Linked DNA regions of Caenorhabditis elegans. The protein of the gene in region 1 purifies or fractionates together with the protein of each later gene. This does not show direct contact. Each region holds a gene or a part of one and is shown on either strand. Other genes may lie near its edges. The genes, in order: rml-5 and F52B11.2.

Evidence for each region.
Region 2: the proteins of rml-5 (region 1) and F52B11.2 fractionate together in Caenorhabditis elegans (co-fractionation; one large-scale study listed by BioGRID). This does not show direct contact.

The regions. Positions count from the first base shown.
Region 1 is NC_003279.8:1,791,111-1,796,984, forward strand, and holds rml-5 (NAD(P)-binding domain-containing protein), read left to right. Parts: upstream 1-2,143; 5' UTR 2,144-2,149; coding exon 2,150-2,254; intron 2,255-2,681; coding exon 2,682-2,858; intron 2,859-3,511; coding exon 3,512-3,997; intron 3,998-4,240; coding exon 4,241-4,343; intron 4,344-4,950; coding exon 4,951-5,231; 3' UTR 5,232-5,314; downstream 5,315-5,874.
Region 2 is NC_003282.8:14,081,624-14,085,366, reverse strand, and holds F52B11.2 (putative phosphomannomutase), read right to left. Parts: upstream 1,800-3,743; coding exon 1,728-1,799; intron 1,579-1,727; coding exon 1,455-1,578; intron 1,395-1,454; coding exon 826-1,394; 3' UTR 672-825; downstream 1-671. Other genes in the region: cfp-1 (CXXC-type zinc finger protein 1), read right to left, coding at 2,343-2,548, 3,197-3,402, 3,628-3,743. UniProt on the Caenorhabditis elegans protein: Involved in the synthesis of the GDP-mannose and dolichol-phosphate-mannose required for a number of critical mannosyl transfer reactions.

The DNA.
Region 1 (5,874 bases):
TTTTTGCCACTTTTTAAAATTTTTTGACGGGTTAAACCTAGATTTTCTGAATTCAGCATATATGAATTACCTATTTTCAACAAATTTAGACAACTTTTTATTTTTGCCCAATTTTTTTGTTCCAGTTTTCGCAACAATTTACCAAACCTTAAAATTTGTTATCAAAAGTGATAATTGTTGCGGTTTTCTTTTGATCTCTTATCACTGTTCATATTATTTCCCATACTTTATTATTCTGTTTTTTTTTTAATTTTAAATTTCATATTTCCATGAAAAATCATTCATTATTCAATCTACACCTATCTGAATGTTCGGTCGTTTTCGCAAATATGCCACGTATCGATTGATTTCTCTATTCTACGTGTATGTGATGGCTCTTTACTCATTGCAAGTTGATGATGACCTCGATGATAAGGATAAGGATAATTAATTTCGAAAAAAAAAAGTTTTCTTTTTTTGAATAAAGCTAATTTTTTACTTTTTTATGAATCAGTACTAAAAAAAATCTGGAAAATTATGGCCCAAATCAAGAAATTTCCAAAAATTAACGTCTCCGGAAACTTGTTTCTCTTGTTAGGCTCCGCCCATTTTTTAGGCCAAAATTTGAATAAAAAATTGTCAAAAAAAATTTGCCGCGAAGATCATTATTTATATATTAAAAAATATTATGAATTGATACTGGTATAGGGTTAGTATGGGGATATGGTCAGTGTACTGTAGTAGTACTGTAGGGGTACTGTATGAGTACTGTAGGATTACTGTAGTTTTGGAAAAATTGACTTTTTGTCTTTTGAAGAGATATTGGTTTGAGGTTAGTAGGGGGTATAGCCGGGGTACTGTAGTAGTACTGTAGGGGGTGCTGTAGGAGTACTGTAGTTTAAGAAAAAATTTAGTTTTTTTTTTTCAAATTCAAATTTAATGGGAAAATTTTTTGGTGGGAATTAAAATCTTCTGTGATAAAATTTTGGCTGAAATTCAAATTTTCTGAGAAAAAAAACAACTTTTTTAGAAAAATCTGGAAACTTCTAGAATTTTCTAAAAATTGAATTATAATTTTTCAGACCAAACTGGCGACTAGAGTGGCGACTAGACTGAAAATTTTTCAGAGCGACTTTTTTGCAGCTCAAAGCTGTGCTCCCACTTGGTTTCAGTCCGTCAATACGGTTTGATCTACAAAAAATGCGGGAATTTTTTTGCCCAAAAAAATGTGACGTCACTCTTAACCATGCAAAATCAGTTGAGAACTCTGCGTCTCTTCTCCCGCATTTTTTGTAGATCTACGTAGATCAAACCGAAATGGGACACTCTGCCACTGATTTTTTTTGCACCAGGGGCCTATTTAGAATGGGGTTTTTTTTCAAACGAATTAGGTTTTATTTAGAAGTCTGGAACTTAGTTAAAATATATTTTATTTGGCCCTTGTAAGTTTAAGTTTTTCAGAATTTTCAGAACTTTTTGAAAGAATTTTGGCGCGCGAAACTTGAATGCTGTGGTTTTTCATGCTACGTGGCTGCAAAACTTCTATTGTCGCAGATAGAGTATACAATCAATGTCCTGGATCTATCTCGATTTCATTCGCATGTCTCTCTGCGGCTCTCATCTACCAATACTCTCTCACTTCTATCTGTTCGTTGCGATCTCTGCGCTGCCGTCCTTGACCGCGATATGTCATACAGAAACTGTATTCATTCTCGACTTTCTATTTTTTTTTGTTTTGGAGAATTTATGTTCATCTTAAAATTAATTTGGTTTTTGAACATATTGAGGAAACGGTTTTTTGAAAAATAATTTGCTTTTTTTAAAAATTTTTTTCCCAAAACACATTTTAAAAAATTAATTTTAAAAAATTTCTTTGACAAGCGACACGCGGTTCTGGCTTCCCTCATAAATTGAAATGGAAGAATTTGCCGAACTAGGCCAGGCCATATCCGGGGTAGATTTACGGCGCGTTGCGTGTCGCGTCGCGGCTTGATTTCAGTTGTAAAACTAAATGTATTCGTTCGTGTGGAGTGCACGACTTTCCCAGTCCGGCAGGCAATTGTCAATGGAGCGGGAAAAATTTAATGAGGAAGGCCAGAACCCCGTGAAGCGACACTCCGTTGCTAGGCGTTGCAGATTTTTTGTTAAACCTTCGAAATTTCAGTGAAAAATGACCGTTTTGATTACCGGCGGGATTTCAAAAATATCTACTCAACTTGCGGAGGCGGTGCTAAAAAACGGAAGAAATGTGGTTCTTCTGCACAATAATGAGGCGGTAAGTGGTGGCCTACAAAATTTTCGAAAATTAATTTTTAATTATCGAGTAGTATAGGATTTTCCAGCTGGCCGAGAAATCCTTGTAATGGCCTTAAAAGTTTAACGTTCCTATTCCGGCAATTGGTAATTTCGGCAAATTTGCCCAAATTTGTCCAAATTGCCGGAATTGCCGGAATTGCATTTTTAGGCTCCTAAATCTACAAAAAGTATGAAATTTTTATTTCCGGCAATTCTGGCGATTGCAGGTTCTCAAATTTTTCAGCAATCGGCAATTTTGGCAATTGCCGGTTTTTTGAATTTTCGGCAATTACCGAAATTGCCGAACAGCGAAAATGGTTCCCATTGAAAATGCTAGAGTGGCCTAGAAATTCTCAGGTGGCCGAGAAATTTCATGATGGCCTAATTATTTCAAATTTCTCTTCCAGATTCCAACAAATCTGATCAATAATCCATCGCTCACACTTATCAATTTATCATCAATCAACGAGGAAGCAATCAAAAATCTAATCGAAAATTACAAAATCCAAACAATTTTCGACGCATCTCTCACCACAACTGATGTGCTCTTGGAGCCAATTCAAGGAGCTAAGAAATTGATTCTGGTAAGGTTTTAGTAAACATGCTCTATTGGCAAACATTGGGTGTACTCCACGTGAAAATAGAGAAATTTCGAATTTCGTAAAGTCAGAAATTAAAAAAAAAATCCAGAAAACTCCTGGGAAGTCAGAAATTATCAGAAAATTTGGAATATTTTTTTGAAAAATAAAATAAAAATTCCAGAAGTCCACGTGGTGTCAGGCTGTCCCATCACGGTTTGATCTACAATAAATGCGGGATTTTTCCCCCAAAAATATGTGACGTCAGCACGTTCTAAACCATCTGCGTCTCTTCTCCCGCATTTTTTGTAGATCTACGTAGATCAAGCCAAAATGAGACACTCTGACACCACCTGAAAGTCCGAAATTTCTAGAAAATGTTGAATGCTTTAAAAAAAATCAGAAAATTCCAGAGGTTTCTTTAAAAAAAAGGTTGAGAAAAATTGAAAAATTTATATCTTTTCTAAAATTCTAAAAAAAATACAAAAAAATATTTTAAAAATAAATCAACATTTCCAAAAATCTTTGAACAATTTAGAAAATTCACGAAATTGCAGAAATTTTCAGAAATTTCAAATTTTTTTGAAAAATTTCCGTAAAAGCACGCGCGCTCAGTTGACAAACCCCTAGAATTAAAAAAAAATCAATATTTTTTTCAGGGAATCACGTCAATCCTCGATGCAATCCGTAAATCCGCATCCCCACCATCTCTGGTTCTCATTAGTGGTGACGAGGTGTACGGTAGGGCGAAGAATCGTGTCGAGACCCAACCTCTAGAGCCGGTCACATTCATCGGCTCAGCTCAAATGTCCGTTGAAGCAATGGCTCACAGCTATGCTGTCAGTTATCGTATTCCAATGGTCATCGGAAGGGTATCCGATGATTTATCGATTTCTGACGCGACACGTGGATTATTGGCAATTGAAAAGTTGGCACAAAGCCAAAAACCAGCGGAGGTCTACAATATTTCGGCTTCTTCAGCTGAAAAAATTCAGAAAGAAACGAATTGGAGCCCGTCTGGCTCTGTAAAGGAACAGGGACCCATCGAAGAAGTTTTTAAGCCAATTTTCTTAGTTTTCGGAGCTAATTCGGAACTGAAAACTCAATTTTTGGAGCTGCTAAAGCTGGAGGGACTGGTTTCCAAGGTTTGATCTCAAATTTTTGTATTACGGTAGCCACAAAAAAACACCATACTTTACGACAATTTGCAGAAAATATCTAAAAATTACGTCTTTTGTATTACGGTAGCCTCAAAAAAAAAAACACCATACTTTACGACAATTTGCTGCTCCAGGGGTAAAACTAAGCGGGAAATTCAAAAAAAGTGTCTAAAATTCGTTTCTAAATTTTTAAAACTCTCAAAAAGTCAAAACTTAACTAATTTCCAGGAATCCACAATCACAAATCTGCAAGAAGCCACTGATAAATCGGTTATCGATGAGATTAACACAATCAATCCATCCCATTTGGTTTATTTCGGAAATGAAACCGGTAAGTGACTTGGTGGCTGAAGACAGTGGCCGCAAAAAGTTTTTAGGCCATGAAATTATATTTTTTGGTCGGAAATGCTTTTCTTTTTACGCTAAAAAAATCAAAAATGCCAAAAAACAATTTTTTTTGGACTTAAAATTTGTCTCAAAATTCAATTTCACGAATCACGGGTTCTGGCCTTTCTCATTGAATTTTTCGCGCTCCATTGACAATCGCCCGCCGGAAAACGTGTGGGAAAGTCGTATACTCCACACGGACAAACACATTTAGTTTTACAACTAAAATCAAGCCGCGACGCGACACGAAACGCGCCGTAAATCTACCCCAGATATGGCCGAGCCAAAATGGCCTAGTTCGGCAAAAACTCTTCCATTTCAATTTATGAGGGAAGCCAGTGGCCGCAAAAAGTTTTTAGGCCACGAAAGAATCTTTTTGGTCGAAATTTATGTCAATTTATGCTTTAAAAAAATTCAAAAATGTCAAAAAAAAAATTTTTTTTGGACTTAAAATTTGTCTCAAAATTCAATCAAAGCTTTTTTCGCTAAAATATTTTTTCACCGAGAAAAAAATTCTGGGCCAAAAAAAAGCTTTTTATTTCAAATTCCAGACTCATTCGAAGGCGACTGCTTCACTCTCCGTACCAATATGGCGACTAATCTCTATTTTCCATGGCTTCTCGCAAGTATTGCCGAAAAGTTCTCCCTACACTTCACCCATTTTGGAAATACTTCTATGAGCCAAGAGTCTTCAGCTCTTGCCGTTAAAGGATACACTGGGAAAATGTTGGAATATTTCGAAAAAACGCTCATAATTGGACAGAAAATCGATAAAAACGTGCTGGAATCGATTAAGGCATGCAAGACTGGAGGACTTAATAATAATATTTAATTATTGAATTTTTGCAAATTATTTTTGAACTTAAAGCATTCCTTTTTCTGCGATTTTTTCAATCAATAAATTTTGAAATTAGTGTTGTACTGGCAAATTGGCAAAATGCCGGAATTGAAAATTTCAGGCAAATCGGCAAACCGGCAATTTGCCGAAATTGGAAATTTCTGGCAAATCGGCAACCCCGCAATTTGCCAGAATTGAAAATTTCCGGAAAATCGGCAAATCGGCAAACCAGCAATTTGCCGGAATTTAAAATTTTCAGCAAATCGGCAAACCGGCAATTTGCCGGAATTGAAAATTTCCGGAAAATCGACAAACCGGCAGATTGCCGGAATTTAAAATTTCCGGCAAATCGGCAAACCGGTGAATAGCCGCAATTTGAAATTTCCGGCAAATCGGCAAAACTGGCAAATTGCCGTAATTTAAAATTTCTGGCAAATTACCAGAATTGAAAATTTACGGCAAATTAACGGAATTGAAAATTTCTGCCAAATCGGCAAACCGGCAATTTACCGGAAATGAAAATTTCCGGCAAATCGACAACCCGGCAAATTGCCGAAAATGACAATTTCCGGCAAATCGGCAAACTGGCAATTTGCCGACTTTCCGAATTTGTGGACAAAAAAAATTGCCGAACGGG
Region 2 (3,743 bases), on another chromosome or scaffold:
ATTGAGCTTTCCAAATATAGTTAAAGCACACAGGTTTTATTCACAATTTTCTAGCAAACCAAAAATGATATTAAACTTAGCCAGGTTAAAGCTATATTACCCAGATTATCTGCAAATGAAAAATTTAGAAAATGCTGCTCTAAAAATACGGTGCCCGGTCTCGACACGACAAATGTTGGCTAACTGCGAAGAGGTGTGCGCCTTTAAAAATTACTGTAACTTCAAAATTTTGTTTCTGCAGAATTTTCTTGATTTTTCATACAGTGCATTTTTTTCCAACTTCTACGACTAAAAAAAACGCGCATCCCATTGATTTGTTGAGCGCGTGGCGAGACCAATGACGGGATCATTTTGTATAAATGCGCGCGCCTTTAAAGTCGTAGAAGTGGAAAAAAAATGCACTGTAGTTTTCGTTATTATTTATTTTAATCTAAAAATTGAAAAATCGATTAAAAAAATTCTACAGTACTCATTAAAGGCGCACACTTGATTGTATATAACAAAAATTGTCGCGTCGAGACCTGGAACCCCATTAAATTGGTAAATTTGGATAATCAGAATATCAGCCAAGATCGCTGTAAGTTTATTCTAGTTTTTGGCGTGCCTACAAGGCATCATGTCCGCCGTGTAGGCGCGTAGGCAGGCCTAGATTCCAGGCAGTTCAAATTCGATTTCATAAACTATTCATATTTCACAGAAAAATGAACTGCGGTTTATCCAAAAAAAAGAAACCAGTGGGAATGAAAAGGATCACAATAAATAAATACTAGTATTTAGAATTACATAAATATTTAACTAGAAAAACAAAAAGAATATAATTTAAGCTTAATCCAACTCCTTGAGCACATTCTCCACATGTTTCCGAGTATCTTCTGGCCCTTCAACAGTATGTCCGACAGTCCGTTCGTCGGCAAAAATCTCATGATCGTTTCCGCCAGGCGCGGTTTTATCTCCGAAAAAGTGAATTGTATCGAAATCTGGCACTAAATATTGCAAACAAAAGGTCTTATCCCATCCAGTAGGGAATACATCAACACTAATTTGTCCTCCGATTGCAAACTGGAGCCCGTATTGCCCGAACTTCTCGCGGAGCTGCTCGGTGAACTTTTGGCGAATTCCGTGCTTCTTATCAAACTCCACAAATTGCATTCGTTCCTCTTGTGAGCAACTCCGTCCAATAGGCGACAAATTGATCATCCCGTTTCGGAATTCGACGAAATTTCCACGTTTCACAGGAAGTTGAATGTCAGACATGTAGCGGAGAGCAAAATTGATGAGCTCTTGGAGCTTCGCATCGCCGATGGCTTTCTGGATTGATTGTACTGGATACGGTTCGGTGCCCTTGAATCCGTAGAGCCCGTTCTCCGAGAATGTGTAGTCGAACAGGGAGAGCACTGGAAAAAATGAGGAAATTAGGATTTGTAATTCAAAAAAAAAAATTAGCAAAGACATACACAAATCCTTATCGTGATCTGCCAGCTGCTCTGTGATCTTCTTAAAGTCCGATCCTCCGACGATTGCCAGCGGGACACGCTTGCGAGCCTCGATCAGGAATTCTCGCATTTCAGGCGTAATAGTCTGAAAATGTTGGGGTTTTTTAAATTTAGATGTAGAAGCAAAATTTTGCCCCCCAAAAACGGCGCCTGGTCTCGACACGACATACTCTTCAAAGGCGCATTGTCGTGTCGAGACCCAGGTACCGTATCGCAAAAATCTCGCAGACTAACCTGACGAGCAGCAGTGAGTGTTCCATCGACGTCGAACACCAAAATTGTTCGGCTACTCGCTGGAGAAGTCATCTGAAAAATTTTTTTGGTGTTTTTTTTTAAATTTTTTAAGGATTTTTTTTGGAATAAAAGTTTTTTGTTGAAAAATTCGGAAAATGGAAAATAATACATTTAATGTCAATTTTCTTCGAGAGAGAGACCAAAATGTATAAAGAGAGATGAGTGAATAGTTGAGGATCAAAATGAAGAACACCGATAGAGAGAAATTGGGTGAAACAAAAAATAGAACAAAAAAAGGTTTTTGGAAAACTAGAAGAAAATAAATAAAATAATAATATAAAGAAGGGTAAGTTCAATTTGTTTTTTGTTCAAAAGATAAAAATCATAAAAATTTTGAAGAACAACGAATGAAAAAGCCAGTGCTTCGTGTAATATACGCAACGTGTCGTTAGAGTGTCTGCGTCTCTTCACTCTCTCTCTCTCCGCCATATTTCAGGACGACACCTATTCAAACAGAAAAAAATGTTGTTCAGATTTGGAAAAAAGATACGAAATTCCACGGAAATGAAAGAATATGATAGTTTTGAGGAAAAAACTAAAAAAAATAGGGAAATTTTAATTATTCTGCGTCTCCTCCTCCTTCTGTACAGCCAGATTTGCTAGAAATTCGGCGGTATCTTCCATTTCATCATCGTTTTTTGATGATGATGATGATGATGATGATGTTGAGCTGATTGGTGTCGTTGCTCCGTGAGCCGAGGCGGATGATGACGTGGATTGGGACTTGTTGAATAGGGACATTTGCTCGGAATCAATAATATCTGTAAAATTTCATTTTTAGATTTAAAAATCTGTGAAATTTTGAGGATTTTCTCATTCAGACACGGGATATGTGTCGATTTACGGAGCTCGTGTACTCCTCGAGCAGAAGCGGTTTTCCCTGGAAAAACCAGATTTTGAATTTTTTTTGCTGATTAATAACATATTTAACGGTGAAATCGCCAATTTTTTAATTTTTTTCAGTTGCTTTTAACAGCAAATTCGGCTTTTTGACCGTTAAATACAAAAAAAATTAGAGAAATTGGTCCAAATTCAAGCTTTTCGACAAAAACTGTAAAATTCTCAAACTTCTCCTCGGGGAGTACACAATTCCCGTAAATCGACACGGGGCAGTTTGTGCGAAAAATGCAGTGCCTGGTCTCGACGCGACAAATTTTCGCTAACTGCAAAAATCTGTGCGCCTTTAAAGATTACTGGAACTTTAAATTTTAGTTGCAGCGGAATTTCCAGTGATTTTTATAGTTTTCCGATAAAAAAGTTAAAAAAAAACCAAAATTTGAAATTACAGTAATCTTCAAAGGCGCACACATTTTTGCACCCAACAAAAAATTGTCGTGTCGAGACCGGCCACCGTAATTTTGGCGCGAAAATCGCAAAATTTCGCAGAAAAAATGAGCATTTTTCCGTACTCGGCTGTTTGTGCATCATAATCGACAGAGCATTCGTTGTCCATTCGGCGTGAGCATTCAATTTGTGCATCTCGTGGCACAGCTCATACATTTTCTGAAACAGACAAGCTTGTTCCAGCTCAATAGTTCCTCTCAACGATGGTATCCATTTGTGATGCTTGTGACACGCGTCCTTCTTCGTTCGACAGCCTTCCTCACCGAATGGGCTGAAAATTGATTGATTTGCAATTTTATTTGCTGAATGGCCGAGGTTTTTCTCGGCCACGGTCGAAGATCTGACAAGATTCAGCGATTTTTTTGCTATTTTTCCCGAATTTTTCTTTTTTTTCGGTCATTTTTTCACAATTTTTCACGCAAAAACGAGCAAAAAAAGCTCTAAATCTCTTGTCGGATCCTCGGCCATCAAAAAATTCTCCAAATTCTCCACTAACTCTTCCATTTCAATCAATTCTGAAACTGTCTTCGCCGTCTCAATCATTCCATCTTCCCATTTCTTCGGATAACCGCACACTTTCAAATGCTGTTCATCGCCCAGTTTTCGATGTTC